Linked DNA regions of Astyanax mexicanus. The protein of the gene in region 1 purifies or fractionates together with the protein of each later gene. This does not show direct contact. Links are inferred from orthologs where the notes say so. Each region holds a gene or a part of one and is shown in the gene's direction. Other genes may lie near its edges. The genes, in order: plekhm1, vps41, vps39 and vps33a.

What was found.
Region 2: the proteins of plekhm1 (region 1) and vps41 purify together in Homo sapiens (affinity purification with western blotting; 4 studies listed by BioGRID and IntAct, with this or other methods). This does not show direct contact. The link is inferred for Astyanax mexicanus from reciprocal best matches to the Homo sapiens genes PLEKHM1 and VPS41.
Region 3: the proteins of plekhm1 (region 1) and vps39 purify together in Homo sapiens (co-immunoprecipitation; 3 studies listed by BioGRID and IntAct, with this or other methods). This does not show direct contact. The link is inferred for Astyanax mexicanus from reciprocal best matches to the Homo sapiens genes PLEKHM1 and VPS39.
Region 4: the proteins of plekhm1 (region 1) and vps33a purify together in Homo sapiens (affinity purification with western blotting; 3 studies listed by BioGRID and IntAct, with this or other methods). This does not show direct contact. The link is inferred for Astyanax mexicanus from reciprocal best matches to the Homo sapiens genes PLEKHM1 and VPS33A.

What each region holds. Positions count from the first base shown.
Region 1 is NC_064422.1:10,630,918-10,637,808, forward strand, and holds the start of plekhm1 (pleckstrin homology domain-containing family M member 1), read left to right. Parts: upstream 1-3,876; 5' UTR 3,877-4,092; intron 4,093-6,774; 5' UTR 6,775-6,799; coding exon 6,800-6,853; intron 6,854-6,891. UniProt on the Homo sapiens protein: Acts as a multivalent adapter protein that regulates Rab7-dependent and HOPS complex-dependent fusion events in the endolysosomal system and couples autophagic and the endocytic trafficking pathways.
Region 2 is NC_064408.1:103,282,601-103,290,243, reverse strand, and holds the start of vps41 (vacuolar protein sorting-associated protein 41 homolog), read left to right. Parts: upstream 1-4,630; 5' UTR 4,631-4,896; coding exon 4,897-4,917; intron 4,918-5,277; coding exon 5,278-5,316; intron 5,317-7,643. UniProt on the Homo sapiens protein: Plays a role in vesicle-mediated protein trafficking to lysosomal compartments including the endocytic membrane transport and autophagic pathways. Acts as a component of the HOPS endosomal tethering complex.
Region 3 is NC_064421.1:20,441,308-20,449,136, reverse strand, and holds the start of vps39 (vam6/Vps39-like protein), read left to right. Parts: upstream 1-4,812; 5' UTR 4,813-5,403; coding exon 5,404-5,476; intron 5,477-5,692; coding exon 5,693-5,758; intron 5,759-5,841; coding exon 5,842-5,906; intron 5,907-6,390; coding exon 6,391-6,433; intron 6,434-6,571; coding exon 6,572-6,666; intron 6,667-6,898; coding exon 6,899-6,997; intron 6,998-7,085; coding exon 7,086-7,178; intron 7,179-7,829. Other genes in the region: transmembrane protein 87A, read left to right, coding at 30-136, 274-332, 414-517, 669-748, 1,636-1,700, 1,790-1,851, 2,403-2,433, 2,573-2,614. UniProt on the Homo sapiens protein: Regulator of TGF-beta/activin signaling, inhibiting SMAD3- and activating SMAD2-dependent transcription.
Region 4 is NC_064429.1:3,077,650-3,084,880, reverse strand, and holds the start of vps33a (vacuolar protein sorting-associated protein 33A), read left to right. Parts: upstream 1-4,226; 5' UTR 4,227-4,279; coding exon 4,280-4,381; intron 4,382-7,231. Other genes in the region: D-amino-acid oxidase, read left to right, coding at 400-517, 1,389-1,487, 1,895-2,005.

The sequences.
Region 1 (6,891 bases):
GTGTGAAATGCTCTGTTCTAGAGAAACTAATCTACTTTAATTCTTTACAGAAGTGGTGAATGGAACAAGGTCATGATTAAATGATTACAACACAAATCTACAACATTTAGTTTAATATCCGAACCCACCATTGAACATGGTTTTATTTTATTTTATACGGAATGTTGCTAATTTAGTTGCTAATAAAGATTTTTTTTCTGTCTATTTTTTGCCAGACAACAACGTCATGTACCGGTAATCCCTTGACCATAATCAAATTTTATGATTTTAAAATAAAACTGTTCTCAGAACTCTGGAAAATAGTGTCTCAGGCAGCGGGCAGTTTATTCATAACATTTGGTGTTATAGCTTTTAGATACTTTGGACATCTTTTTCTATTCAACACTATTGTGAACAATTCTGACTGGGTATGTTTCTCAAAAATGCAGTGTTTTGTTGATTGGTCATTATTAAAACAAATATGTGTTACTTAAATTCCTCTTAAGCAAGGGGATAGCAGGTGTTTCTGGATGACCTGAATGGTGGTAAATTAGAACAAGAAAAGTGAATTTAAGTATTTTTTTTTAAAGTATACTTAACATAGACATGTGAATTATTCTAGAATTAAAATTTATGAATACTTTAATACATACTAAATGCAATATTTTGGAACAACTTACGTATATTTAAGTATACTTCAGTTGTAATTAAGCTATATTTAAATACAACATAAAGGCATTATTTTTTTTTCTCATATAACTTCTGTGAACTGTTAATACACTTGAAGTATATTGTAAATTTTGTAAATGCATATTGATGGACATATTGTGTTCACCTTAATGCTACTGGAACATAAAATGCACTAAAGTGCACTTTAATCAGTATTTAATGCCACTATATCTACTATATCTAACTATATTTTCTATCAACACAATGTTTAATTTAAAGCACAAAATAAGTTTTATGGAAATACAGAGAGGAAGTATATTTTATGTGTATTTTCACTGAGTATATTAAATTGAAAATGCCCTTTTAGTATTCTTTACCTAATTTCAACATACTTTTAAAACTCTTAAGTATAATTTCTTTTCACAAGGGTACCCTTGTAAAAAACCTTGTATTAAACAAAATTCCATTTTTTTATATCATCTATTTTAATTATTTTCCCATAATTTCCTACTGCTGTTGCCCTTTGTAAATTATTTAAGAAAATAATATTCAGATTTAGAAACATTTTATATTATTCAATATTATATTATTTATCAGTATTGTCTGTATCTCAGGTGTTTGTAATATTAGTAATAATATATAGTAAATCACTTGGTAAACAGTCTATAAGTGGTTGAATTTATTGGACCAGTGGATAAACAGTATTCTTGTTTACTGGCTCGTAGAATGAGGTAATTTTACACTCATAAAAACACATATTTCTTATGAATGATGAAACGTATTGTTTAAGTGTGGCTGAACTTTGGTATAGGACTGTACATTAGCTGGTTTTCTGTCGTCATGTTGATGACGAAACATTGAGGAAATTCCCGCCCAAATGCCCAAGTATGTAATTCCTGAGAAAGAGAAATTGAAAGTATGAAGACTGTGCTGTTGTGTTTTTGTTTTTCTATTTTTGAGAGAACACCAAAATAAATCGACCAAAACACTAAAACAAAAACTATTTTAGATTATGGTCGTTTTTTTGTGTAAGTGTAGTTTTGTAGTAAAAATAAATGTTTATACAGTTAGATATGAGTGTGCATAATGGACCTAAATACCTACGTCACCCACAATGCATTGCTAAATCACAATGCAAAAGAAAAAACTAATAATAAACCTACAATCATATGTATTAGTATACATAAGAAAAGAACACAACAGTAAAATATATAATTAAAATAAAATGATAATAATTCGGGACATTAGATATAACCAATTGTGTAAAAAAAACTTTTATTTTTTTAAGATGTAGTTCCTAAAGCCGGACTTTTCTACGCAGTCAGGCCAGAGCGGGCGTCCTGTAAAACTACAACTCCCACAAGCCCCTCTCTGACTGCCGGACCAGCAGGTAGAAAACAACAGAAATCAGAGAATTCCTATATATAGAGGATTTCTGGCAAGACAAAATTTTTCTTTTTAAGGAAAATCATAATTTTTTTTTAAATGTTGATGATATAATATGTTTTTTTCTATATACTGATTCAGTGTGGAGTATATTGTAAATATTATGATTTTATTGATTAAATACTGTATACACTAGAAGTGTATATAGGACTTTCGGTCAAAATAAAAACATAATCAATATCTTGGCATTACGGTATTCTTGTAATATTTAGTGTATTTGCTTTTAATTATTTGTTTTCAGTTCATATTTGTGCACTAAATATGCAGCACTTTAGGTTTGTGGTAGTTTTTTGTTGTTACATTACTTTATTTGTGTTTTTTTATTTTGTTACATTATTTGTATTTTTATTTGTTTTTAATCTGAGTCTTGGTAAGTTACTGTTTATAAAATAGACGTATATAAAATAGACGTATATACGTTTATATATATATATATATATATATATATATATATATATATATATATATATATATATATATATATATATATATCTGTTTCTACTCATATAATATTTCTGCTAAATAAAACTTTAACATTTAGTTTTGTTGAGGTAGCATATTATTGAAATATTTTTTTTTCATGTCAATGCTTTGTCATATTGCTTATCACATCATAAAATTACCATGAAACGTTATTATATTATATTAGGGCCATCTCCTATCTCTAATTTACACAAATGTAAACTTTATATACACAAACGTAATTTTTTTATTTCAATGCCAAAGTTTTTTTGTGGACTTCACTAAGGTGTGTAGGTTACCAGAGGGCGCGCTCGAGTGTGTCTAAAAATAATGGGTTTATATAATTTATATATAATATGATAGTTTATAAATATTCAACACTGAATATTTAGTATTGTATATCTAGACATCATTTTAAAAGCTTTTAAACTTAATTTATAAGCCTTTCTAATATTTCTAAACCGTGCTCAGTGCTCAACTTTTATTGTGGAAAGAACATCAGACTGTGACCAGGGTTGCCAGGTTTGTAATTCTCCCGCCAAAGTGATTTTATTTGTAAATATAAGGGCAGGTAAAAAAAATGGCTACTTTTAAAATAGTCAGTGGCCACCAAAAAAGCCTTCAAAATATGGAGTGTCTTGTAAATAATTGACTTATTATTGGAAATATTTGAGAATTGTGGGACAGAGAAAAGATCTTTTATGGAATGATTAAAAACTTTTACACTAATGCACTTTCTAACACAGATGTCAGGCAGTAGAATATTTAAATCTGATTGACTTGTATCTATACAAAATTTCTTATACTTTTGTTTTAATTGCTTTGCTTATTTATTAGAATCTTTTTAACCCGTTAAGAGGCCAAGATTTTTGTCAATTGTCTGCCCTAAATCTGAATTTCCTGAATTTCTATTCAAGCAATACATAAAAAGCTTTCATGCTTGATAAGGAACGTTACTGAAAATGTAATAGAATTGTAATAGAAAGTATAGAAAAATAGTCAAGTAAATTTGCAACTGTCAAAATATTATTGAATAAAATCATAAAATTAGATCTTTCCTGAATTCATTTTGAAATCAATACAAATCTTGAATACAAATCAAACAGTTCGTGTCCTCCAAACCTTTAGTTTTATTATGTATGTCTAGTTTTTACATCTATTTTCAAACAAGCACAGTTTGGGCTAATTTGTTTGTTGTGTTTTAAACCCCAGTATCTATACTTCTATCTACAGAGTAATGAATGCCAATAATTTTGACATATTTTTAGTATTTTTAATGGATCTGGTAACCCTGCCTGTCACTGCCACCACAGTCGAGCGGCGGCCAGAGGATCTTCAGTACAGTGTGTAAATTACAGCGAGAGCGGGCCGACCCAGTACTGCTGCTGTTCCTGCTGTCTGTCTGAGTTCATCTGCCGCTCATCTGCTTGTTTTTAAGCTCGGTTAGGGAGACTGGAAGCTGCTGGATTTAATCTAAAACACATTTCCCCCTGTTCTTTCTGAATAAACTTCATTTAGTCCGTGACAGACATGATGGTAAGTGGATTTACTGCTCTGTTTGGGATCGCCAGCGTTAGCTAGCAGGGCTGATGATGAAGCAACATTGCTGTAGCTGTATAAACTTACATTACAGGCTAGCTTATATTAGTTTAACAACTGGCTGATGTGTTTTAATAAATATATAGAAGATAAATGGGTGATATATATAATATGAGTTATGTTGGCCAGTTGGTTGTTTAGCTTAGATAGCTCGTGTTATAACTTACATAAAAATAGATAACATAGGTTAGGTTAAATAGCTGGAAACTTGTGTGTCCTGCTTATTTAGTTAGCTAAACACCTGAAGGTGCAAATATGGGTTAGAATAGTTTTGCTAACCTATAGCCTTGTTTTTAATAAAATAAAAGTACTAGCTAGGTTAGCTTATGTGTCAAGTTAACAGACTTCTCATATCTGTGAATTAACTGGTTAGTTTAACTTAGTTAGCTTAGCTAAGCTAAAAAAGGCCCTCAACTTTATATTTTGTCCTCTTTATTTGTAACTAGATAGCTAAGTTACTTGTGAAATCCCGATTCTAGCTGGTGTTAGTTAGCTAATGCTAACATACAAGCTGTAAAGTGTTTAAATTAACGATAATAGTGCTAACAAGATAGCTATATGTCGTTTAATATGGGTAACTGGGCGATTCAAGCCCTTTTAAACATATAAAACAGTTTAAAAGAGACAGGTTTCCTCTTTGGAAATTTGCTTTAGGCTTTTACTAAATTCCCTCACTGCCGATGAAGGCAAATCCAGGTCCGAAAAAGTTCAAATCCACCGGGATTTTGCTCCAGCTCCCTGCAGCCGAGCTGTACACAGAGCTGCTCGGCCGGTTTGAGCGAAACCCTGGTGAGGATAAGTACATATACGGATCTGGATTTGCCGTTTATGATCTTTACAAGATAAAAGTCCGCATAGCCGTGAGAAAATACTTTTTTTAAATGTAAAAGTCTTCATGATTTTATTTTTTTTAGATTTACTTCACTTAAGATGCTAATATTACAAATATAAATAGAGCCCAGACCCATTTCTAAATATTCAGAAATTAATTATTGAATAAATTCAGTGAGCAGCTCATTCATGTTATTTTTTATTGTGGGAACTTTTTTTCTTAAATATTAAGAGCATATTTTCTTAAATAACACAACCACAATTTCAAAACTATTATTAGCATTTTGTTCTATAGATTAGGTGAGAACTTGTTATATGGACTATTTAAGCATTAAACTACTTAAGCATTTTAATGGTTAAAATGGTTGGAACAGACCTGTTATAGCAAAAAAAAAAAAAATACACTTTCAAATGGAGTCAAATGGAGCTAGTTTAGTTTTACCTACAGCACTAACCATAAAGCACCAAAACCATAAGGCATGTATGTAGTGATGCTCTCAGGGTCTTCAGTATATGTCACTTATGTAACTTTACACAGCTTTTAAAGCGTCTGTAACACATACATCAGCATGGGCTCTTTTGAGTAAAAAAAAATATGTGTATGAATATATATACATATATACCACCCCTGGTGTATTGTAATTAGTCTGTCAGTGTGTCAAAATATGATAAATATTGTGTATCGTGAAACTGTTTTTAAATGTTGTCAAATTATATTGTTACCACGCAGCCCTTTTTTAGTGATTGCGTACACCAAGGGTGATTAATGGCTTTTACACTGTTTAAATCTGTATCAGAATTGTATAGTTTCAACTAAAATGAAGAAATATATGGTGATATACATTTTGTTCTGATATAGATCGTTTTACTGTTTAATATAAACACTGGAATGCTGATTAACCAGCACCAGTATTCACCATCTCAACACGTCTGTTCCTCAGCAGGGATGACTTGTCTCCTCATGACCAAATCTTTTTAGATCTGAGGAAATTTCCTGTATCTGAGGAAAGGTCTCAGTAGCATTGTGTCATGAATCCCCTGTTGTGAAGTACAGCATGTCCTCATTCCCTTTCTTTATTTACTGACTTACATAATTTACTGCTGTGGTCATGAGCTTACTACTACCTCTTTGTGTGAGGAGGAGGAAGAGTGTACAGTAACAGTGATCGTCCCTTTGCCTTAGATTAATAAAGGATCCCTGAGACGTTCCTTACGATCTACCTAGTTAATATGTATTTTCCAGTACATTTTTTTATTTTAGATATATTTACATATTTAAAACTTAAAATATATGTTCAAAATCAATCAATTAATTAATCTTTATTTCACTCAGGAATATGTTGAGTGTAACCCTCATTTTAAGAACAAATTAAAGGACAAAAAAATAATATAAAAGAAAATCAAGTATTTGATCAGATTAAGCTAAAATAAGGAACTTTCTAAAAAAAACAATTAAAACAATATGCCATTAAAAACGAACAATGAAAGGTTTAATTAAGAAGAAATAAAATTATTTAAAATAAAAGGATAAGTGGAAAGGCTAAAATTTAAAGCAGTAAAATATAGAGATGCATAATTAGAATAAAAAAAACATTAAATGAGGTTGTGGGCTGTATGAATGAGAGATGCAGTTACTGAGCTGTTTGAGATGTAGCTGATGATGTTGATGATGATGATGATGAAGATGATGATGAAGATGATGATGATGAAGATGATGATGATGAAGATGATGATGATGATGATGATGATGATGATGATGTTGTTCTTGTTTTGGGATGTGTGGAGCAGAAGTGATGTGATCTGAACAGGAGTCATGCTCGCCACACAGACCGCTGACTCTGTCCCAGAGGCCAAGAATGCCAAGCAGGTCAGTAACCCCACCCTCTTTTTTTTATTCACACTTGA
Region 2 (7,643 bases), on another chromosome or scaffold:
TTACAATAATTTACAACAGTTACACACCAGTACACACACACTTCTCTCATACATTCACATAAACATACTGTACACATAATCACTTACAGTATAACTACTGGAGGTAAACAATAGTCCCACACCCATTTTCAAATATGATTCTTCACAAACCAAATAACATCTGGCCAGATTCTAACCGTTTTTAAAATAGCTTGGCTGTAGAACGCTCCAGAATCAAAATGCCTAAAAAATTACTGTAGCCGAACGTTCCTCAACAGAATATTATGCAATATAGCATACAAATATACTATAAATAATAATAAGAAGAAGAAGCATAAGAATCTTCTTTTATATTTGTTACAAATAAATACCAGAATCATTACCTAATAACAAAAGTGCTGGACAGTGTTGGTATTTCAAATTTTCAATTATAAAGAAAAATGCATCTCTATTTATAACTTGGATGCATAATTGGATGCAAATAATAATTAAATAAATAGCCTATGTTGTAAAAGCTTGCATGGAACTTCAAATCAGCATCCCTGGTCAAATGGTACATTTTGTTAATTTTCTAAAAGTAAATACATCCTTTTTATTTTAATGAAAAATATTTTCTGTCCCTTTTAGAACCAGTTCCCATTTCTTTTTGTAGAACCAGTAGTAGAACCAAGAAAAAGTATCCTATTTATAGTGCATCTATGGTATTTATAGTGTATCAAATTTTGCTTAACTTTGGAAAGCCGGTGAGTTTTTCCAAAAGTCCAAAAAAAACTAAATGTTTAAAACATACTGAAAATAATTTTAAATCACAGACTGGATTTTTTATATTTCAGTAACAATGTTCAATTTCGTTGTGTCGAACAATAATGTCTTTAAAGCATCAATTCTTTTAAAAGTCAGAGTTGTCTTAGACGAACATCACAGGTATAAAATCCATGTAGTAAAAAGAAGTGGAAAAGGAGTGAATAATTCAGCAACAGCCTAAAGGTAGACTGACCAAAGCCAATGATGTGGTAAGCAGGGGAGCACTATGCTTCTGCTCATCAATTATTAGCAGTTATACTAAGGATAATGCATTGATGAAGTGACCCCGACTTCAGAACCTGAGGGCTCTTCAAGTATTTACCACGCTGTTTGCCAGGAATATAATACAGATGAAATCTACAGCTATAATGGATGAGTGGACATTAACGCGGTGTCGAACGGTGCAAAAAGCACTCTCTGAAGTAGCTCATAAAACACAGACGAGACTGATAGTGTATTCTGTACGAGGCCGGGGTCTGCGCTACGAGATAAGCCTGTGTGTTTCATCTAGCATTTTTCCTCAGATCCTGTCTTGTTTACCACATGTACTAGATTTGGTCACCACCGCCTTTAACAGACATTACAGGCAAGAGTGTAAAAGTCTGACCTCGCAACAATTCAAAGGGAAACCATTCAATATATCTTATATATTTACATTTCAACTACCATTAATGTATGAATGAAAAGTGTGAGCCCAGATGGCATTAGAGTATTACACATCAATTCTGACAAAACACAGTTTGACACAATAAAAACATATTTTCCATGTCTAATTATTGAAAATTATAAAAAATTGTATTTATTATTAATTGTAATTGTATTGATTATTAATATAGTTATCATACAACACTGAAATGACTTGTGTAGGTGTAGCTCACTTACATCACACCTACATCATACACTGGAAAACAGCATTATGGAAATTGCCTTTTTCCTAAATTGAATAAATATTATGGCACTATTACTTGTTTGCTATTACTTGTCAACTTATTGTTTGCAGTATTTTATCTTCTCCATGAATCACCGGGATCTGATCTCACTCTGCATGATCATATACACTCACACAATACTTGTAGACCTACATCTTCATACAGTTGTTTAATCACCCTTCATTATATCAGTGGAATAAAATGTTCTTAAAATGACAATAATATTGTTTGTTGCAATTTTTGTGGGATAATATATTGTCCAATAAAAACATTTATTGTGCCAGGCTTATTCTTTTCTTATCTTTTTTTATCAAAACATTATTTTAACAACATTACATCACTTGATATGCCTCTTCCATGCATGTCTCATTGTATCAGTTGCTGTTTAGAATCTGCTTCAGACACAATTTGTCTACAGTACAGCGAGGCAATGGGAAATCTGCCCAACAGCCACGAACTGAAGGGTGCCAACTTTTTGTGTGAGATGTGTTGGCCATGTCTGCAAGAATCATCGCTACATCATCTGCAAATGCTGCCAGCAGTGATATTTGTCACTCAACACAATTTTAGCTTAAATTCCAGCAAGTCAATAAATATATATAAACATACTGTGTATGTACAGTAAATTTTACATCCTACTGAAGATTTTACATTAAAAATTATGTTAAAGATACAACTGTGAAATGTGATGTGAGTCATGTTATCCCTTTCATGCATTTTTGTAGTTTTTGGGTCATACATTCCAGACTTAAATAAGAATAAGAACAAAGCTAAAACTTTGATTCAGATTTAATCTGAATTTTGCATTCAATGTATGGGTCTAACAAACCAACATGCCATAGTATGCCCTCAATCCCAAACAGCAGTTTCCATATTGTGGCCTGTATTTCCTGTATATGAATATGGTAACCCTGCCTCTTGGCCTGCCACACCACATCAGCATAATCATGTAAGACGTATTGACAGCCTGTCGCAAATGATCCTATCCCACGGCCGTGTATGGCAGCGGTCTGTTACGAATCAAAATGTAAGAATGTCTAAGTAAATCTAATCAAATGTCCCGTCCTCTCAAACGCATAGGAATAAGCTTGGGGTGAGGGTATAAAAATGACTGTTTCTCCTCCGGGTCATTAGGATTATACAGACAGGGATGCTGAATATTCGGACAGTGTCATGGAGCCTGATGTACACTTACCTGGGGATGAATCATGATTAACTCTGAATGATGACCTCTTTTTGCATCTCCTCAGAATCAGGCAAGGCACATGCCCAGACCCTTAAAGGCCTACTAAAAAAGCATAGCATAGATATCATAATGTACACAATTTAAACACTGAATTTAGAGGATTAGTTAATAAATCAAACACTAAACCTTGAGCCTTCAGCATGTGTATAAGTGCCTTAAAAGTTTTATATAATTCTGCTTATGTTGTGCAGAAATGACAATCAGTCAACAGTAAACTAAACCTGGATTCTTATGTGAACGTTTTATTCCACATAAAGATGTTAAGACGGGGTGAGACGTTAAGTCCAAGCGCCTAAAAATGCAACTTACAGCCTGAAGCCTGTGTGTTGCCACAGCACCAGCTAAGGTAGAATGGTAAATTAGCAGTATTTAATGTAAAATAGTACATTAGCAGCATTTAAGGTGAAATGGTAAATTAGCAGCATTTAAGGTGGAATGGTAAATTAGCAGCATTTAAGGTGGAATGGTAAATTAGCAGCATTTAAGGTGGAATGGTAAATTAGCAGCGTTTAAGGTGAAATGGTAAATAAGTAGCATTTAAGGTGGAATGGTAAACTAGCAGCATGTAAGGTGAATTGATAAATTAGCAACATCTAAGGTGAAATGGTAAAGTAGCAGCATTTAAGGTGGAATGGTAAACTAGCAGCATGTAAGGTGAATCGGTAAATTAGCAACATCTAAGGTGAAATGGTAAAGTAGCAGCATTTAAGGTGGAATGGTAAACTAGCAGCATGTAAGGTGAATCGGTAAATTAGCAACATCTACGGTGAAATGGTAAATTAGCAGCATTAAGGTAAAATTGTAAATTAGCAGCATTAAGGTAAAATTGTAAATTAGCAGCATTCAAGGTGAAATGGTAAATTAGCACCATTCAAGAAGGACTGGTAATTTTGCAGCATTTAAGATGGAATGGTAAATTTGAACGATCCAACTTCTTCATGGAAGAGATTTACTGAAGGCAGCTACTCACACATGCTGGTAATGCTGATTGAACAGCTTCGCCTTGTTGGTCATGCTGGTCAACCATTATTTTGTCGAAAATATAGTATTTACGAGATCCGAGCACATAAACGCCACCACACACTCATATTTGCCAGTGGGAAACTCAGATTGTTAGATAAGCCTAGAGTTTCCCAGTTGGGGGCGTGTCAGTAACAAGAGGTCAATAAATTGATGCAGACAATTTTGTAAACTGTATTGTAAACTGTAAACTGTTTATATTTCTGTTATTGCTACAACACTTCAACACTTGCAGGTTGTTATTAGCTAACCAATTAAATCAGTTGCAATACATTAAAAAAATGAATGATTCACTGTTCTAATGGGATAAAAACATCACTTACCTGAATTTCCGAGGAGAATTGAAGGTAGCAGAACAGCATGGTCATGGTGGGCATGCTAGTCAACCAGCATAATTAATCCTGGTTTAAGTATGCTGGTTGTTGTTACTGGTGGTCTCGCTTCTTCAGTTTGATCATGCTTGTCAGACACAAACATACCATATGCTGTTAAGCCATATCAAGCCAAGTATTTTTTCCCCAATGAGGATAAGAAATACAGAGAAATATTTTTTTTGAGGAGCAATACCTTTGGTCGTCTTACAAGCCAACTCTCAGAAAGCATGAGTGGGATTAAACTACATTTCCCAGCATGCCCCTGCTCTTTCCTTGTGTTGTTGTCATGTGACCGTGCTCATGACTAGTGTCAAAATGCTGCAGCTGCTTTGCTTTAGCTTAAACTGAGGATTTTACTGTGTTTTTACGGCTAAGAAGAGGTGCAGTTTAACAGGAGAGCTCGGTCACGGCTCCCTTTCGCCTTTTCTTCACATTATAAGATTATAAACGGAGAGTTTAGTGTAGAAACCGGATTTCTGCGGCGCCTGTTTCCTCTTACTGACGGATACTAAGGCTAACGCTAGCGGTTAACACTAGCTTAGCCATGTCGGAACTGGAGGAGAAGGTGAGCGTTCAGTTTAACTACATTACATTACAGACTGTTTCACCGAAAATACGCGATTAATGTGCTTATTGTGTGAACTGTTATTACGGTGACGTATGGACAATGCTAGTGTCAACAGTTTCCCCTGACTGTCTTCATATCAGCTCTTAGCTTCAGCTCATTACTAGTTATTATTATTATGGTACCACTACTACTAGTAGATCCTATTTATGTACATTTACACGTCTATATCCTATATAGACACTGATGTGTGTGGTAGCGCTAGTAATTTTTCTATTCACTTAACTCTTGCTAGACTAACTAGGTAATTTAACTGAGCTAGATTTGAATGGGAAGCTAAGACTGTGTCTTTTTTTCCAGGAGAGAAAACCAAGTGAGGAGTCCACAGATGATTCAGAGGTAAGATTTGGATTTAGGGAGCATATTATATAAACAAACCCTTGTTTACTTTGAGTTTAAATACAGTAATCAGTTATTATTAGGGCTGTCAATGTTAAGGCGTTAATGCATGCGATTAATTTGGAATCAGTAACGTGTTATTATTTTTTTACAAAAATTAAATATGCCACCAAGTTTCACCCCAACTTCTGCCGTAATCTGCACTGCCCAGCGCACAGATTTCTTTTTTCTGGACTGATCTGTTGTGGAGAGATCATGATCTAGTCTCAGTCCAACCCAGCTATGAAATATACTTATTTTTAATTGAGTTAACTGCTGATAAGGCACAGTTTACACACGCAATAATGTGCAGCGTTCACTGCTCACACCTGTGTTGCACGTCCCATTGAAAAAACTGTGTTTAAAAGCGCAGCTCCAGCACCAGACAGCTCTGGCCAATCAGAGGAGACATGTGCTTGTGTGGTTTATTGGTGAGCATTTTGGTGCACAGGTTTATGCCTGTGTGAAACCAAACCAAACAGAGGAAGAGTAAACAAACTCATCAACTGATCCAGAGCATAGAAACAAACTACAGATGTAAAAAGGCCTTTTTATACTCAGCAAATTAAATTCTAATTTAGAATTCCTTACAATCAAGCTGAGATGTTTCAAAAAGTAAAAAAAAGTTTTCTCGATCCAATTCATCATGCATTATTCATTCCAGCGCTCCATATTGGCTTTATCTCCCCTCAAACATACAAGTATATACTAGTATTTTAATTGACACCACTAATATAAATATAATTGCATTTTACATTTTCTACATTCATTATTTTATTTACTTTTAAACATCCACTATAAAATCTTTATTAGGGCCGGGAAATGTATTGTAAATATCTATACAGTATTTTTGAAAGTATTTTGCACAACATAAAAAGAAAATACCATAATGTATTGCATCTGAGTGTGATTTAAAAAAAAAAAACACATTACTGTGTGGAAATATGATAATGATAATGATATCATCCAGCCCTATCTTTCAGTTTAATAAATCCTACCCTTAATTGACAATTCGTTCTCTAAATGTAGCTAAACAAAGGGAATCATTTATTAAACAGATTGGTAGGAGTTGCTTCATGTATGAAGAAATTATTTATTAAATTAAAGGAATGATTTAAGTCTCTAAATAATTTCTCTACCTTGATACTTTAAAAGCTTCATACAGTGCAACACTTTCTAATACAATATTTGTGCTATGTGTGAAGATGTACCATAAGTACACTTATATTGGAGGTTATTTTTAATATATAGACATATAACAGTTTGTATTCACATTTAATTCATTTAAGTAAAATGTCTCTGTCAAAAGTTACAATAGCCACATATACAGCACTATATTGTACTGTATTTCACGGTTCAGTGTGATTTAACATATTAAGTGTTACAATATTGATTAAAGTGCATTAAGTGTAAATTAAAATAAAACATTCAAGCCAACGAATTAAGGCAGAATGTCTCTCCCTGAAGCAGTAACTTCCTCTTTACCTCTTAATCAAGAAACTTCCTTTTTATCAAAAAATGAGAGTTGGTAGGTAAAGCACCCTGTCTCATGCTGTGGCTAGCACAGAATGTTAGCATAATACATTTAGAATGTTGAATGCTGGCCATAGCATTGTATTAAGGCAGTTGTACTTCGGACTACACAAGTAGTATCATCAGTTTTCATCTAAATATCCTTAGGATATCAATGACATTTCAAAAGTGATTTTTGCAACTTCTAGTCCCCTATTACGCAATGCTACTTGTTTATGTACTTCCTCTAGGTTACCTAAATCCAACCATCTTTTTGTAATGAGCTGTAATGGTCACAGACTATTCAGTTGTTCCAGCAAAGCATCACACCAGGTGATTGGTGAAAAGAGCATTACTTTGATTACTTTGCTTTCTTTAAATAATTTTCAGTTTGGTTACTTTGGTCTTGAAATGTTTAAAAATATGAATTTATGGAATAATCTTGCATGAAGCCTATTATTACAAAAACACAAGGAACACAATTAATTACCTTAAAAGCTCTTGATAGTTTACAGCATAAGGTTAGTGTTCATTTAAGTTTAGAGGAGGTATAACATTTCAAAAATGTGAACACAGTTATTCACTGGAGTTTAAACTTGGAACTTGCCTACCTATTTATAAGGGTGTTTTTTCCTGGGTGTGTCCCAGTTCATTAGCTGGGGCAGCGGTAGTGTATATGACTGCTACACTGATGACATGGGTTCAATCCTGCCTAAGGATCGGTGTATTTTATTTATTTTTCCTTTCTTCTTGGGTTTACCTGCTTTAAATTCAAC
Region 3 (7,829 bases), on another chromosome or scaffold:
TCAGTGTCCTTAACAGCTGGATTCCACATTTTCATCAGTTTGTCTCAGACTACTCGCCTTCTGAAGCTTCGCAGAAATGTGGTGAAGCTCTCCTTATATCAGCACTTTACCAACACCCTCATATTCTCTGTGCTGGGTAAGTGCTATGTGTTTGCATGCATTTGGTAGCATTCGGGAATACGTGTTTAAAAGAATTGCCAATACAAGTAATAACAAGCCAAATGCATTATACTAATGTTCTACTTAATATTATACTTCTATATTATACTGTAGCATCTATCATTTTCATCGTATGGACCACCAAGCAGTTCAAGATTGTGGAGTGTCAGAGAGTGAGTAGGATATCGGTGAAAAACTCTTTCTAGTTTGTGATGTCTGTGGCTGAGATTGTGCTTTTGTTTTTGGTTCCTAAGGCTTGGAGAGAACTGTGGGTGGATGATGCTTTCTGGAGGTTGCTGTTCTCCACCATCTTGCTGGTGATTATGGTGCTACTGCGGCCCTCTGTCAATAGCCAAAGGTTAGCTGAATTACTGTGTATTATTGCAATGACCTTGAATGCATATGTAACCTTGAGTGATATGTAACCTTTCACACTGTCTGAAAGCTTGCATGATGTATCTGTAACTTATGAGTGTAACTAATGAAAAATGACCATATTCTTTGCATAGATTTTCCCATTCGCCCCTTATTGATGAGGAAGATGATGAGGATGATGAAGCGAAGGAACCTATGCTTAATGAAGCATTTGGTAAATATCAGTATATTGATAGAATTCGTTCAACCACAAAATACAAAAAAAGGAAATTCTGTTCTATACCCATAGTAGTATTTGTTTTGTTTATGTTGGACAAAAACATAGGGATGGGCAGTATATTACAACATGATGTTACTTATTTATTATGAAAAAAAATATTGTGACATTTGTAGCATTACAGATTGAATTCACACTCTCGATTAAAAAAGGAAAGGTGTTAATATTAAGGACAAATGGAGGAAAATAGCCCAAAAACAGATGAGAATCAAAACCTCCAAAAAACAAAACCTTAGATTCAAAATAAAAGCAAAAAGGGAGAAGAAAACAGAGAACCAGACAGAAACTAAAACTATGCAAAAGCACATGCTGAAAACTGTCAGAAACAGGAAAAATATGTCAATAACAGAAGATAGAAACAGAGAACAAGCTGATATAGTGCAACAGAAAATGAAAATCTGATATAAATATGTTGATCATGTTTGTCTATTGTCTATTGTTTGTTTATTGTCACATACATAGTCACACATGGTACAACTAGCAGTGACATAACAACACAAAACAATAAGATATGAATATAACACACACAGATGAAGTATAAAGAATGAAAAAATATACAAAGATGATTTAATGGTTGTTGTACAATATAGAGATCAGTTAGGCTTGTAATTCAGTAATTCAGAATGTGCAAATGTGGATGTTCAGAATAATGCTGTTCAACAAAGCAAGGAATTGTAGTGTTTGAGAGTCTGTATCAGACAAAACACATGTAGATATTTTTATTATGTTAATAAGATATTTTGCCCTCTTATTGTCATGCCCACCCTGCCCACAGTTTTTAAATGGAACAATGTCTCACGTGTTGCCATGTGCTCTGTTTTCAGAGGGAATGAAAATGAGAGGAGCAAAGTCAGACACACACGCAAGTCAAAAACTACTCGGCAAAGAGGTGAGAACTTAATATCCATGTTACACATACTTCTATGATGGTTGACCGTCACCTCACTTTTCTTTTCTTTCCTGTTCCGTGTTCTTTAGAGCTCCCAAGATGATGACCTGAAATGGGTGGAAGATAACATTCCTACAACTGTAGTCGATGTGTGAGTAGAGCTCCACTAACACCTTGCACAATATAAAGATGTTACCTACAATTAAACAATTAAATTCTACAACCATAGAAATAACCCTAGAAAATATGAATCCTGGTATGGAAAAAGCATAATTTACTCTCCCAAAATATGTCACTTTGTATAACGCTACCTACAGGACTATGAATACTGTGGGGAAAAAAAGAGAGAAAATGGTGGCATTACTCATGCAGCAGTGTTGACCGGTAGCTGTAAATTCTCAAGCAATGATTTCTTTACCAAGAAATTATATTGTCTAGTTAATTTTATTCTTTGGTGTCCAGTCTTTGTCAGGTTTTACGTAGTTCAGATCAAACACAATTGACTCTAATATTTAACTGCTTCTCAAGGCCTCCATTATCTGGGTCAGGTGTGTTAGCATTGGAGCTAAGGTCTGCAGGGCAGAATATCTACAAACTGTTGAAGCACTGGCCAGACCTGTGGTAAATCATTGTGTTTTGCTATAGGAAGTGAACCTATTTATTGTGATTCTAATTGAGTGCAACGCTTCCCTCTTTTTACAGAGCTTTGCCTGTGGTGTTGGATGACGAAGAGGTAAAGTGACTGCTTTTTTTGTGTCTCATGATCATGGTCACATTTTTACTCATTATATGCTCACAGTCAGATGATTCACAGTAGCATTACTCAACAGGCCTTAATCTTGTATGTGTCTGCCCACCCTTCCTCCTAACAGGAAATTCTAAACACCAGGATGGAGAGATCCAAAATGGAGTAGGCTTCATGCAGGTGCATAAAAGCAAGATATTTATTCCTCCAGTTCAGCTGAGAACTTATAAAGTGATGATAAATGTCACTCAGTTGAAACCCTTGGTTGGAGTACTGTGTTTTCATTTGAGACAGTTTCTGGTCTGGGGCAAAATGTGGAAATATGTCTCAGGCTAAATGTGAAATCTGTCAATCTTCTTTGCCATTTCTTATTGTTTTTGTTGGGTATTTTGCTGGGATTCTATTTGTGCAACTTTTCTTATTTAAGTATTTTTGTGCTTTCTTTAAGCATGTGGACAGATTTAATTTTGACTCAATACCATCCAAACCTTTTTAATAACCTAATCAGTACTTATACCTTAATGTCATTACCAGTTCCTAAACAATACTTTTTCCAATATCTTGTTTCAAATTACAAACAGAAAGTGGATGTGGCTTAAAACTGCAAGAATGTACAAACAGATTGTATGTTAGACAATCTGCAGTTATATTTGGTAACATGTGGACTAATTGGTTCAGTGCTGTTGATTACATTCGCTTCTTAGGTATTCAAGTTTGGCATTGCCAATACTCTCTCAAGTATTGATATTGTTCAGTCCGTGCCATGAAAGTATCTAACTACGATAACCAATCCTAGGTTTGACTTTTCATCTTTTTTATGCCTGATTAGAAGGCAGATTGCATAACATTTCAACACTGGCTATGGGTGTCTACAGTTGGGTTCAATTATTTTGGGAAAGAATTTGACACAGCTTGTCTTTTTTGTGTATAAGATCACTTGAAATTACACATTTATTAAGCATTTAATTATATGCATATATTTATGTTTTAAAGTTAATCATTCTTACATAAAAGATTTGTGGAAAGATATATTTTTTGTACATCAAATGCTTGTTAGCTTGTTTCTTTTTTAATTGCCTTAGCTTTACTGGTGACATGGGAAGGGGGTGTTGTGTTTGTCTCTGTTGAGGTTTGGCTGAAAAATAATAAAATTTACTTTGACTTTTTAATCATTGTGCTTTTGTTGACTGTATATTCATCACTATACACACTAATATATGTTAGAACATACGTGTTTATATATACTGTACATTAATGCTGAGCTCTAATGGGGAAAAAAGATGTTAAGAATTATGTTAATGTATTCAGAATCCACCAATTATGTATTTTAATTCAGTTTGTTACGTTTGGAAAAGAAATTAAACACTGAAAGATAAAATGGTGCTTAACAATGTTGCTATGGCCTGTAAATAATCAGCTAAATACTATATTCAGTTCAGTTTTAACATATTTACATTTAGCATATTTACCAACTTACACAAAATAATTTCATATAGCTGTAATGACTGTCTGTTGGGGTGTTTAACAATAAGTGAGTTGATGAAAAGAGGCATTCTTGGTCATACTTTACTTTAAACATATCAATAAAATATTACACGAAGAAACACTGCAAACCAAACACAGCATAACATGTGTATGTCTGTATGTATAGGCTGAGGTGTAACGTGTAATTCGGCTCTCGTGAGCTTTGACGTATATCACGTGCCTGTCACGGCGCTGAAAGCGTTCACACAGCTGAGCGAGAGTCACGGGGAGTTTGATTCAGTCTAAGGAACCGATTCTTTCCAAGCCTAAAATTCTCGAAGCCTCAATTCCTTCATATAGCTATAATTATATTTTGCTGGGTAGTTCAAAAATGTCAACATGATTTTTCAAGTCCAGAAACTTTTATTGTAATTTTATCTGAGTACAGTACAATGGAATTACGTTCCTTTATCTTGTACAATATAGACAACAAAAGGGCAAACCTGCCACAAACTGTTCAACATAGCTAAAATACTACAATAAATACAACAGACATGAGACATACTAATAAAATAGACAGTGCAGCACCAACAAAGTACTGTCTAAAAGTGTGTTTCAGAAACTAAAGTGGTCTCTTAATTTTTTTTTCCGGAGCTGTATATAGTAAGTAGTAGTGGAAAATGTCTCGTGTTATTCTAGTTCTTAAGTCAAACAAAACAAAACAAACAAAAACAGATTAAATAGACCATTTGTTGCATTGCTTCTTTAATATTATTTTAATCATAATTAATGAATACAATAGTAAATTCAATCCGCTTTGTTCTGTGTGTGACTTTGTGAGTGTGTAATGCAGTTGAACCAGTTCGGTCTGTTTACTGGAAGGAATCGGTTGAAATGAATGAATCGTTTACGAGTCGGTCACAGCTCTTTGCGAGTTGGCTAGCTAGCTAGCGAGCCTACAAACTGTCAACACCCCGAACTGGCCTGTTTTACCGGGGGTTTGGTGTTCTCTGGGAATAGCTAGGGGGTTCCGAGGTTGGCACGAACTTATCTGAGTCGGAATATGGGATGAAATGTATTTAGTTCAGTTGTGGCTTTGTTGACACTCGGACTAAAGGAGCTAGCTAGCGTTAGCCATGGCAGCTCTATACAGCAGCGCTAGCTAGCTAACTAATTAGCCGCGCCGCTAGCGCTCACTGTACCCGTGATATATTCACTTTCTGACGCTGTCACACTTTTTACATTCGTGGTGGAAATACGGGAGATGGAGCAGAAGGGTTAGCCGAAAGTTTAATTAGAATTAGTGGGGTTGTGTAACTGGTATGTGAGCTCTGAGCACTGTTGCTGTGAGCTAGGGAACGATAGCTAGGCTCGATAAGGGCTTATTTTCAGTTCATCAGCTTCCCGGTTCGCAGATGCCACCTAAACCTTACAGTTCCACTTTTCTTTAAAGTCGTTTTATTTTCTAGCTTTTTGATTGCTAAATCTGCCGCCATGCATGACGCCTATGAGCCCGTACCTATTTTGGAGAAGTTGCCCCTACAGATCGACTGCCTTGCGGCCTGGGGTAAGATTGATCTTTATCCTTGTGGGAATTTGTGAGGAAATGCTACAACTATCAGATAGCATTGCTCATCTGCTTATCGTCTGCTTCCCTTGCTTCAGTTGCATTTGATACTGTAGCTAAAAGGTTTTCCCAGTTCATTAACACAATTAAACAGACGTTGTGTTTAAACCACCTATGTTGAAAATGTTCTACAATATGTTCATGTTGTTTATGCAGAGGACTGGCTGCTTGTGGGTACAAAACCAGGCCACCTCCTTCTCTACAGAATCAAGAAGGATGCAGGTAGGACATTAAGAGGCATAAGACTCTCTGATTACTTTATTTATAATTTTTAATTCTGTCTCTTTTGATCTCACTTCATACAGGTACGAATAGATTTGAAGTAACACTTGAGAAATCCAACAAGAACTTCTCAAAGAAGATACAGCAGGTATGCTTGTTTCTGTCTAAAAAGGCACTTGACATTTTGGGTCAGTTTCCCAGGGAGAGATTAATTTAGGTTGTGGACTATATTTCCTTTTTGAATGGAAAGTCTCTATTCAAAATGCTATGTAGTTTAGTTGTTGTTTAGTGTTGTTTTACATGCACATTTCAAATAAAAATGAATATAGAAGTGAATTATACTTGTCTTTAAATCTACTTACCACTATACAGCAATGGTGGGAAGTTGCAGTCTTGGGGGTGCTGGATTCCTGCTTTTTTATTTTTCTTGCATAAGTACTCCTAACTCAACTCACTTGTTAACTGCCAAGTTTAGAAGGTTTGTTACAGCAGGGAAATGTGGTTTGCCCATCTTTGTGCAGGAGTATGTGTGTTTACAACAAATGTAAGGATGGTTACCTTTTTCCTTTTGGCTGGAGTGCCCCCTTTAATATAAACATGTGACTTCTGACAATTCTCTTTTCCACCACCAGCTGTATGTTGTTTCCCAGTACAAGATTTTGGTCAGTCTGCTGGGTAAGACTTTACGTTTATTTTGTATACTGTTGTTATTGAATATGTGTTCTCACTATAAATTTTGCTTTAGCAAGTTTCAGTAGTGTTAACACACTGTGCATCATGTAATAATCAGTTTTGTATCCTTGTTTGTTTCAGAGAATAACATCCACGTCCATGACCTACTCACTTTTCAGCAGATTACTGTTGTATCAAAGGCTAGAGGAGCTACACTCTTTGCTTGTGACTTGCAGGTCTGTATGGATGTGCGCGTGCGTGTGTGTGTGTGTGTGTGTGCTGTTGTCAATCATGACTCATGACTCTGCTGTTGTCAATCATGACTCTAAATCTTTCCTGCACATTGAATAATTCATTGTATTTATTAAACTACATAATATAACCAGTGTTGACAAACCAGTCTTTATTAATACATATTTCCCTCACATTCTTACTGCATGAAGTTGAGTTTTCTTGTGCCTTCCTTAGCAAACCTCCTCCGGTGAAGCAAAATTGCGGATGTGTGTTGCTGTAAAAAAGAAACTACAGCTGTACTACTGGAAAGACAGGGAGTTCCATGAGCTGCAGGTAAGTTTGAAGGTGGTAATTTATTAATTGTCTTTCTGATTAAATAATGTCATATTGCTGTTTCTTAAAAATGTATTGTGTCTTGTAGGGAGATTTAGCAGTACCAGATATTCCCAAGTCCATGGCCTGGTGTGAAAATTCCATATGTGTTGGTTTCAAACGTGATTACTACCTGATTCGAGTATGTTGAATCCATATTTTTAAAGTGCATTTATATATTTTTTAAATAGCTCAGCGAAAAAGAATCTGATTTACCCAGTTTCTATTCTTACCCCAAAGTAGCTCCATCCAAGACATATTTGGTATGTTTGTTCTGGTTCTGCAGTTTAGTGCTGCAGCTATGAGCTAACATTACATTAAAAAATATTTTACCTCTTCAAACCATATCTCAACCTTCTTTAAGGTTGCGCAAATCTAATGATTTAATTTAGGACGCACTATGACTTACTGTCAAAAGGATCATAACAAACAGTCATTGTGTTTAAATAGGTTTCTCTAGCATTTAGTTACTTTGTTCATTGTTATTGTTTATAGAAACCATATTGTGCTATAAACTAAATCAAGTATTCTTATTGATGACCTGGATGCACTTTAAGATAAATTTTTATTATTCATACAACATTAGCATTGTATATGAGTGCACAAACACAGAAGCAACGTGTGAACACCAAACATGTTAGATAATTGCAATACACTACAATACAATACGATACACTTATATAAACTTATAGTTTATAGTTTCCTTAAAATTTGTCTTGCATTCCACATTGGCTCTATTACAAGTACATTATCATACACACATTTAGACAAACATTATAACTCTGTCTGGGGT
Region 4 (7,231 bases), on another chromosome or scaffold:
AGTTACTTCACCTGCGCAATGGGTAAACAGGGACCACCATTTCAGTCAGGTTGATCACAATAAATATATATAACTTTATTTACTACCAGCAAAACAAAATACAGCTTAAGGCCAAATGACAAGTTTGGTCAATTACCCAGAGAGGAACTTGAACCAAAGACCCCAGCACTGATAGGTGAATGTGTTAACCACCAACCCCCTGTGCAGACTGTTTAGATTCTACTGTACAGTCTGCAGTGTGAAATGTGTGTGAGCTTAAATTCAAAAGTAGCAAAATGCAATAAAGAGTGAAAGAATTTAAACAGATTTCATATGGTCCTACACTTATATCTTTAAGCTACTTTTAAGACACCAGAAGCTGTAGATTAAAGAGGATTTAACTGTGAACTTCATCTTCAGGAGTCGTTCGGTGACTGTGGGTGGAATTTTCCAGCGGGGAAACTGGAGTGAGCTGAACAGCTCCATCGACCACAAGAAAGTGTGGGATGAAGCCTGTGAACTGGAGCCCAGTCTAAAGGTACAGAGATTACAGTAGAGATTTTTTATTTATACTGGGCTGATTGTCTGATAGGATGATAGGAATGTGGGCGGGGTCTTCTTCAGTTTTGAGTAGCATGTCCACTGCCAGTGTAGTGTAAAGTGTATTTATTGTGAAATTACTTTAATATAATATGTTTATTTTTCTTGCCAGTCCATAGAGCTCATACAACAGTTGGACACATCATTAACAGCATCTGCCAGATATTCAGTATTTCCCCCTTGTGCCACAACAGCAGATCTAACCGTTTGACCTGTGGTGAAGGTGTTGTGTGGTATTTGACTGAGATTTTTAAGTCCTGTACGTTGGGAGGTGGGCGGGGAACATCCCACTAGTTTTTTGGAGATGTTCTGACCGAGTAACCTGTTTCGCTGTGCTCCCCCTCTTTTTTATTGTTCAAAATATTTCACAACCCAAACTGTGTATTCACAGATGTGTTTAAGTCAAACACTTGAGTAGAATGGAAAATTAGTTGGTCTGATCCAGTAAAAGACGACTCTGAATAATGTCTGTGTCTGTCAGATGCATTCTGGGATGGAGTTTATTCATTGGCTGTATGCATAAAGGATTGGTTTTGGACTACAGGATCCAGGTGTGATATATCAGATGTGAGTCTGAATAAGTGACATGGGCAGATGCATTCTGAAGTGGAGTTTTTTCGCTGACCATCCAGAGTCCAGACCTCAACATTGTTGAATTTAGTGTATGGTGTTCTTACTGATGGTTTAGTCTGGAGATTAAATGAACAGAGGATGGTCCTGAATGTTTATGCAGTACTGTACAGTACATGCATGTGCTGGAACTTACCAACATCCACTTCTTTACATCAGTGTGTCCTGTCTCTCCTCAGCATGCTCAGATCATACAGGACTGGACTGGTCTCAGACCAGTACGCAGTAAAGTGAGGCTGGAGAGGGAGAAGATAAAGTCTGGACTGAACACGTTTGAGGTGAGTTCTCAGAGATTTTTGTTTCTGCTCCTAACTCAGGAATAATACTGCGTTAAATACCTGTCAGTTTAAAGAAATGTCATTTTGGACAGAAGCCTTTCTATTGGTTCATTAACAAAGTAAAAAGTACAATCTGAAGTGTTTAAATAATGTAGGAAATGTAGGATCTTTTCTTTATTATTTTCCTTTTTTATCGGACAGTAACAAAATCTATGGTCACCTAATATGAAGTAGTTCATTATATAAAAAAAGTTCAGTGTAACATATAAATGTGAAAGGATACAGAGCATGGACTGTTTATATACAGTATATCTTTTCTGGCAGTTTTACAGGAGTTTCTAATGCAGAAGTTTCAGAAATTTATCTTCAACTGCATCTTTCACTTTTCCTGTGCTGTTTTCCATTAGGTCATCCATAACTACGGTCATGGAGGCTTCGGCCTGACGATCCATCGAGGCTGTGCTGAGGAAGCTGCTCGACTTTTTGGAGAAACCCTCCAGCAGAAATCTAGACTATGATCCTGAAGATTCCAATCATTTGTCTGAATCTAGGGTGCAGTTCTTTGTCCACAGTTTTAGACGTGATGTGAGAGTTCACACCTAAACCTCATCGAAATTAGACGAGGCTAATATGACAGTATGATTTCTGTCATTCTAAATTGTGTTAGAATACTAATACAGTATTCTTTTCTGAGTATATTACAGATATGTTATCAGTGCTTAAAGAACTGTGACCAGCAGCACATTTCATTACAGAGAGTATAATTAGTCCTGATGAATTAGATGAATTAGCACTGTAAATCACTATAACGGGCATGGGCGAGTTTTGGAATAGCATTTTAAGGATCTCTTTCTACTGCTGCATTTAAAAAATGTCAAAATACCATGATGCATATTGTGATTAATAAATATGTCATCATATTCTCATCATATTGCCTATCTGGACTCAAAATAGATAGATCTGATGCCTAGTTTTTGGTCTAAAACATACTTTTAACATTCATATAAGGTATATATATAACTTTTACGTTTTTCTTTTATATTCTTCACTATTTTTCCGCATATGAGTAGAATTGTAAATAAAATCTCTGTAGACATATCTTGACATGGTGACCCATCCACTGAATAAGGTAGAAATAAAAATTAGAAATATCATATAAAAATCATTGACATTCATTTTTTTTGTGCTTAATCATAACACTCTTGTGCTTGAACTATGACTTACATTATAGTGATGTAAAAAATAATAATTAAACATCTGTTAAATTAAACATACCACAAAAAAGATAGAATGTTTGTGTCTTTGTAACTTACACAATCAGCATGGGATCAAATAATTATTACTTGATTATGATAACGCAATAAACAAAAATGATAAAGAAAAATGAAAAAAGACTTATTTTTTAGTTTTTCATTTTATTTTTTCTTCTTCTTTCTTTTTTGAAACATAATTTATTGTAGATACAGATTTTAATCCAGTGTGGTGAAGGATATCTGTGCACACAGACACTAAACTCATGTAGGAGATAAGGCAGCTCTCTATCCCAGCACACAGAACTAGACCACATTAGAGGAAACTTACACTGTGATATAAATATCTGACAGTTGAGTTTTGTCAGGGTTTAAATCAGTTAGTGGTGCTCCTGACCGGGTCGAAGCTGAAAGTCTGAACCGGAGTTTCACTGCTGGACACCTTAAGGGACAAAACTAAAATGTGTATTTTAACTTTATTATTATGCATTTATTATGCAAAAAATATGTTTAAAGCATAAGAATTATATATAAGAGATAACTTTAAAATGATGAGTTTCTTCGATTTTACCAAACTGAAAACCTCTGGAATAGGATGGAGGATTACAAGTCATCAAACCAAGCTGAACTGCTTGAATTTATGCACCAAGAGTGGCATGAGTTTATCCAAAAGCAGTGTGTAAGAATGGTGGAGGAGAACATGCCAAGATGCATATAAACTGTGATTAAAAACCAGGATTATTCCACCAAATATTGATTTCTGAACTTTGTGGTCTGAAAGCTCTGCTTCTTTTTTGTTATTTCAGCCATTTCTCATTTTCTGCAAATAAATGCTCTAAATGACAATTTAGAGGGAGAAATGTTTTCTGTAGTTTATAGAATAAAACTACAATGTTTATTTTACTTAAATATATATCTATAAATAGTAAAAAATCAGAGAAACTGATTCAGAAACTTTTTCTAGAGCTGTATATGTAAATCTGCGGCTTTGCAGACAGACCCCTCACCTATTAATTTAGGAGTGACTCGCGCGCTCCCTCTCGCGGTGCGCGCTTATTACAGCATTGTGATTCTAGCAACACTTGGCAGGTGTCCAAAACGATTTCCTGTCAAAATAAAAGTTCCCTTAAATGTAATAAAAATCAGTTTTGAGGCTGTAAATGAAATAATATGAACTAGTTTAATAATATGTACAGTTTAAAACTGATTGAAAGCTTTTCGAAACATATAAAAACGTTTAAATAACGTAGATAAAAAGTAAAAAAAAAGTAAGAAATTGTACTAAAACTAGTGTTGCTGGGTAATACAGTTTTGCGCTGCGACTTTATTAATATATTGTGACGCAGGACACATAACTCATAATAAAGTAACATAATAAAGAAAAATATATTTCTTTTAGCTACTGACAGCATGTTTTATACTGGGCGAATAGTAAAAAATCTCTAGATTTCAGAGGTTTGACTGTCCTAAACCTGAAGCCGCTCTGCCCACGTGACTCTCCCGCATCACATGATGAGTGTGGCGCTGCTGTGAGGAGGAGACATGGCCGCGCACTTGTCTTACGGCAGAGTGAATCTGAACATTTTGAGGGAAGCAGCGCGGAAGGAGCTGCGGGAGTTTCTGGATAAGTGCGCGGGGAGTAAGGTACAGTCCGGGGCGGTGGGTACGGGCTTACAGAGCGGTGTTTACTAACGTTAACTAACCATCACAGCTCCCATCAGATCACCAGCCCACCGTGTAGCTACTGTTTAATATCATAAAATAACACATATATACACTGATTCACAGCTGTCATATATAGATATAGATATATATATATATATATATATATCATTATCTTTATTTATATATAGCAGGAGTTATTCACATACGCGTGTTTAATATGAAACAGTGTTAATCCTGGATACTACACTGCTGTTTAATCATGTACTCAGTACACTGAGGAAGGGCTTTACTCTGTTTTCATTTCACATCCGCCTATTTTACCATATTAAAGGAGAAATCCAGCACGACATGGACTTCAGTTGTAGTGAAACACAATAACTAGTACGAACTGTTCTCAAATAATCCCCCTCCGTTCTCCCCCAGCATTTCCAACTACCAAACACAGCACTTTTAGCCGATGCTCCCAACAGGTTTACCGTGGTAGTGATTGGGGCATAGCATTACTCATGCAGAGAAATCACTATCTTTACACCATTAACAAACTCAAAGTAGCTCCACACTTCATTGGTAGAACTGTGAGGGCCCTGACATTTAAAACAAGGCACTGAGGCCCTGTCCACATCAATCTGGATATTTTTAAAAAGCAAGGTTTTTTTATATCCCCATCCACTAGGGGCGGTTTATATGGCCCTAAAATAATATCATGATATTTCATGGTATTTTCAAATTAACAGTACTCTTGCCAATACGACAAAACACTGAATTAAAAAAATATATCTTTTTCAAGAATACATTTTAATTTTTATATTTGCATATTATATATCACACCCCTAATTGAGGGATTTAAAAATACAGTAATTTTATCAGCTTTGTAACAGAAGACAATGATCCAGAATGTTATGATACTAATAATGCACTCCATATATCTCCATATATCCAGGATTAAAGTAAGATGAAATGAATCTGGACAGATATAATTAAAAAACAGTGTGAATTTTTATTTTGCTAAAAATTGCAAAAAAGTAGTACCCAGGGGTGGGTGATCTGGCACGATATTTCAGGGTATAATATTGGTTACGATATTCAAAAATGTTGGCAATATTATTGCGTATGATAAGATATGGCACACCCCTACTGTCCACACGGAAAGGTCATACTACTAAATACTGAAAGAAACTTCCACAGGCGATTTCCAACAGTTGTTTCCCCTTCGATGCAAGGTCGAAGCATTTTACTCAAAGACACAAGAGATTCTCTAGACATTCAAGGTTTTCTCGTCACTCCTCAGAAACAACTATTTCATTTTCAAAATATTCCCACCAGGTGCTTGTTGGTCCAGGCCTGGTCCAAAATCTCCCTTCGCTGTAAAGTTTGTATCTCTGGACTGGAGTATTGAGAGAAAAAACTGCATGCAGCTCATTTTGGTGCCTCTACTGTGTTTGGTAAAGTGAGAGTAACCTAAAATGAAGCTGTGAACATGTTAATCCACCAATTGCAGAGAGAATTTCAGCATTTTCAGAGGTTTAAAAGTGCCCAGGGAGTTTAGTAAAGACACTGTTTATAGACAATTATGATATCAAACTCAAAATTTAGATTCGAATTGAATCAGTTCGTTTTAATCACAGAGCTTGTTTAGTACCCTGCTTTAAAATCTGCCTCAAAACAAAAAAAAAACCTTTTTGTGCATTTTAGTACACACCTAAGAAACTGCAAGCAGCTGATCTGAGATCAGAATATTTTGTACACAAATATTTATAAATGAGTGTGGAAAAGTCTGATCTGTGGTCTCAACTGAGTTTGCTGTGAATGTGACGCACAACATTGCCACGCTTAAAAAAGATGCAAAGCATTATAACTTTTTTGTGGAGAAAAATCACACACATTACACAGCTTTATTATATATTGCTCTTAATTTGTCAAACAATTAGCATTTATAAAACAGAAAAACCTAAAAAAGACATTGATCTGCTGTTTAAGATTAGTTTGATCTACACTTCCTGGCCCAAAAAAAAAGTCATCACCAAAAAAAAAGGTCACACATTAATATTTGGTTGGATGGACCACGTTTAGCTTTGATATCAATAAGCTTCTGCAGTGTCACAAGCTTTATTTCAATGCTGATCTCTCACCGGCTCTCTGTCTGAGGTAAAGACGAATCTGTCAGACATCTGTTAGGAAACAAGTGTAGTGCACACAGAGCCTGAACATCAGTGACGATGCCACCCCACACACACACACACACACACACAGAGAAGACAGAGTGTGTGGAGATGTGTTGGCTGGTGAACGTATTCTAAAGAAAGGCTAATAGGACTTTCTCAAATCTAAACGCCTTTAGAGAAGGTTTAGAAGGTTTAGAGAAGTTCAGTCCGGATAGACTTTGTTTTAAAGTTTCAAGGCTCTGATGTGAGAGTATTTTGCTTTAAGCCAAATGAGCGATAAGACCATCAGCGTGAATGAGCCGGTATGTCGTCTTTGTTTTAAAGCAGTGGAAACAAAGCTAAAATTTAATTTAAAGCACAAAAATCCAGCCCAATTTTCCAAGCTGAATATTATATATATATATATTGTTCCTCCAGAGAGATCCTGCCTCAAGCCCCACAGTAAACGTTTTGGTGTTCCTGCTCGGATTTTGTCTGACAGTTACATTAAAAAATACATTTGTAGCAAGAGCTCTGGACTGCTGGGCATCTGTGTCTTTGATCATATAATGTATTAATGTATTAATGTAAATGTTACTAATCTATTTTTTGTTACTAGTAATTTTATAATGGGAGCTCAATGTCTGCTCTTAATAATACAATGTTAGTTTAACTGTAAAATGGTTTA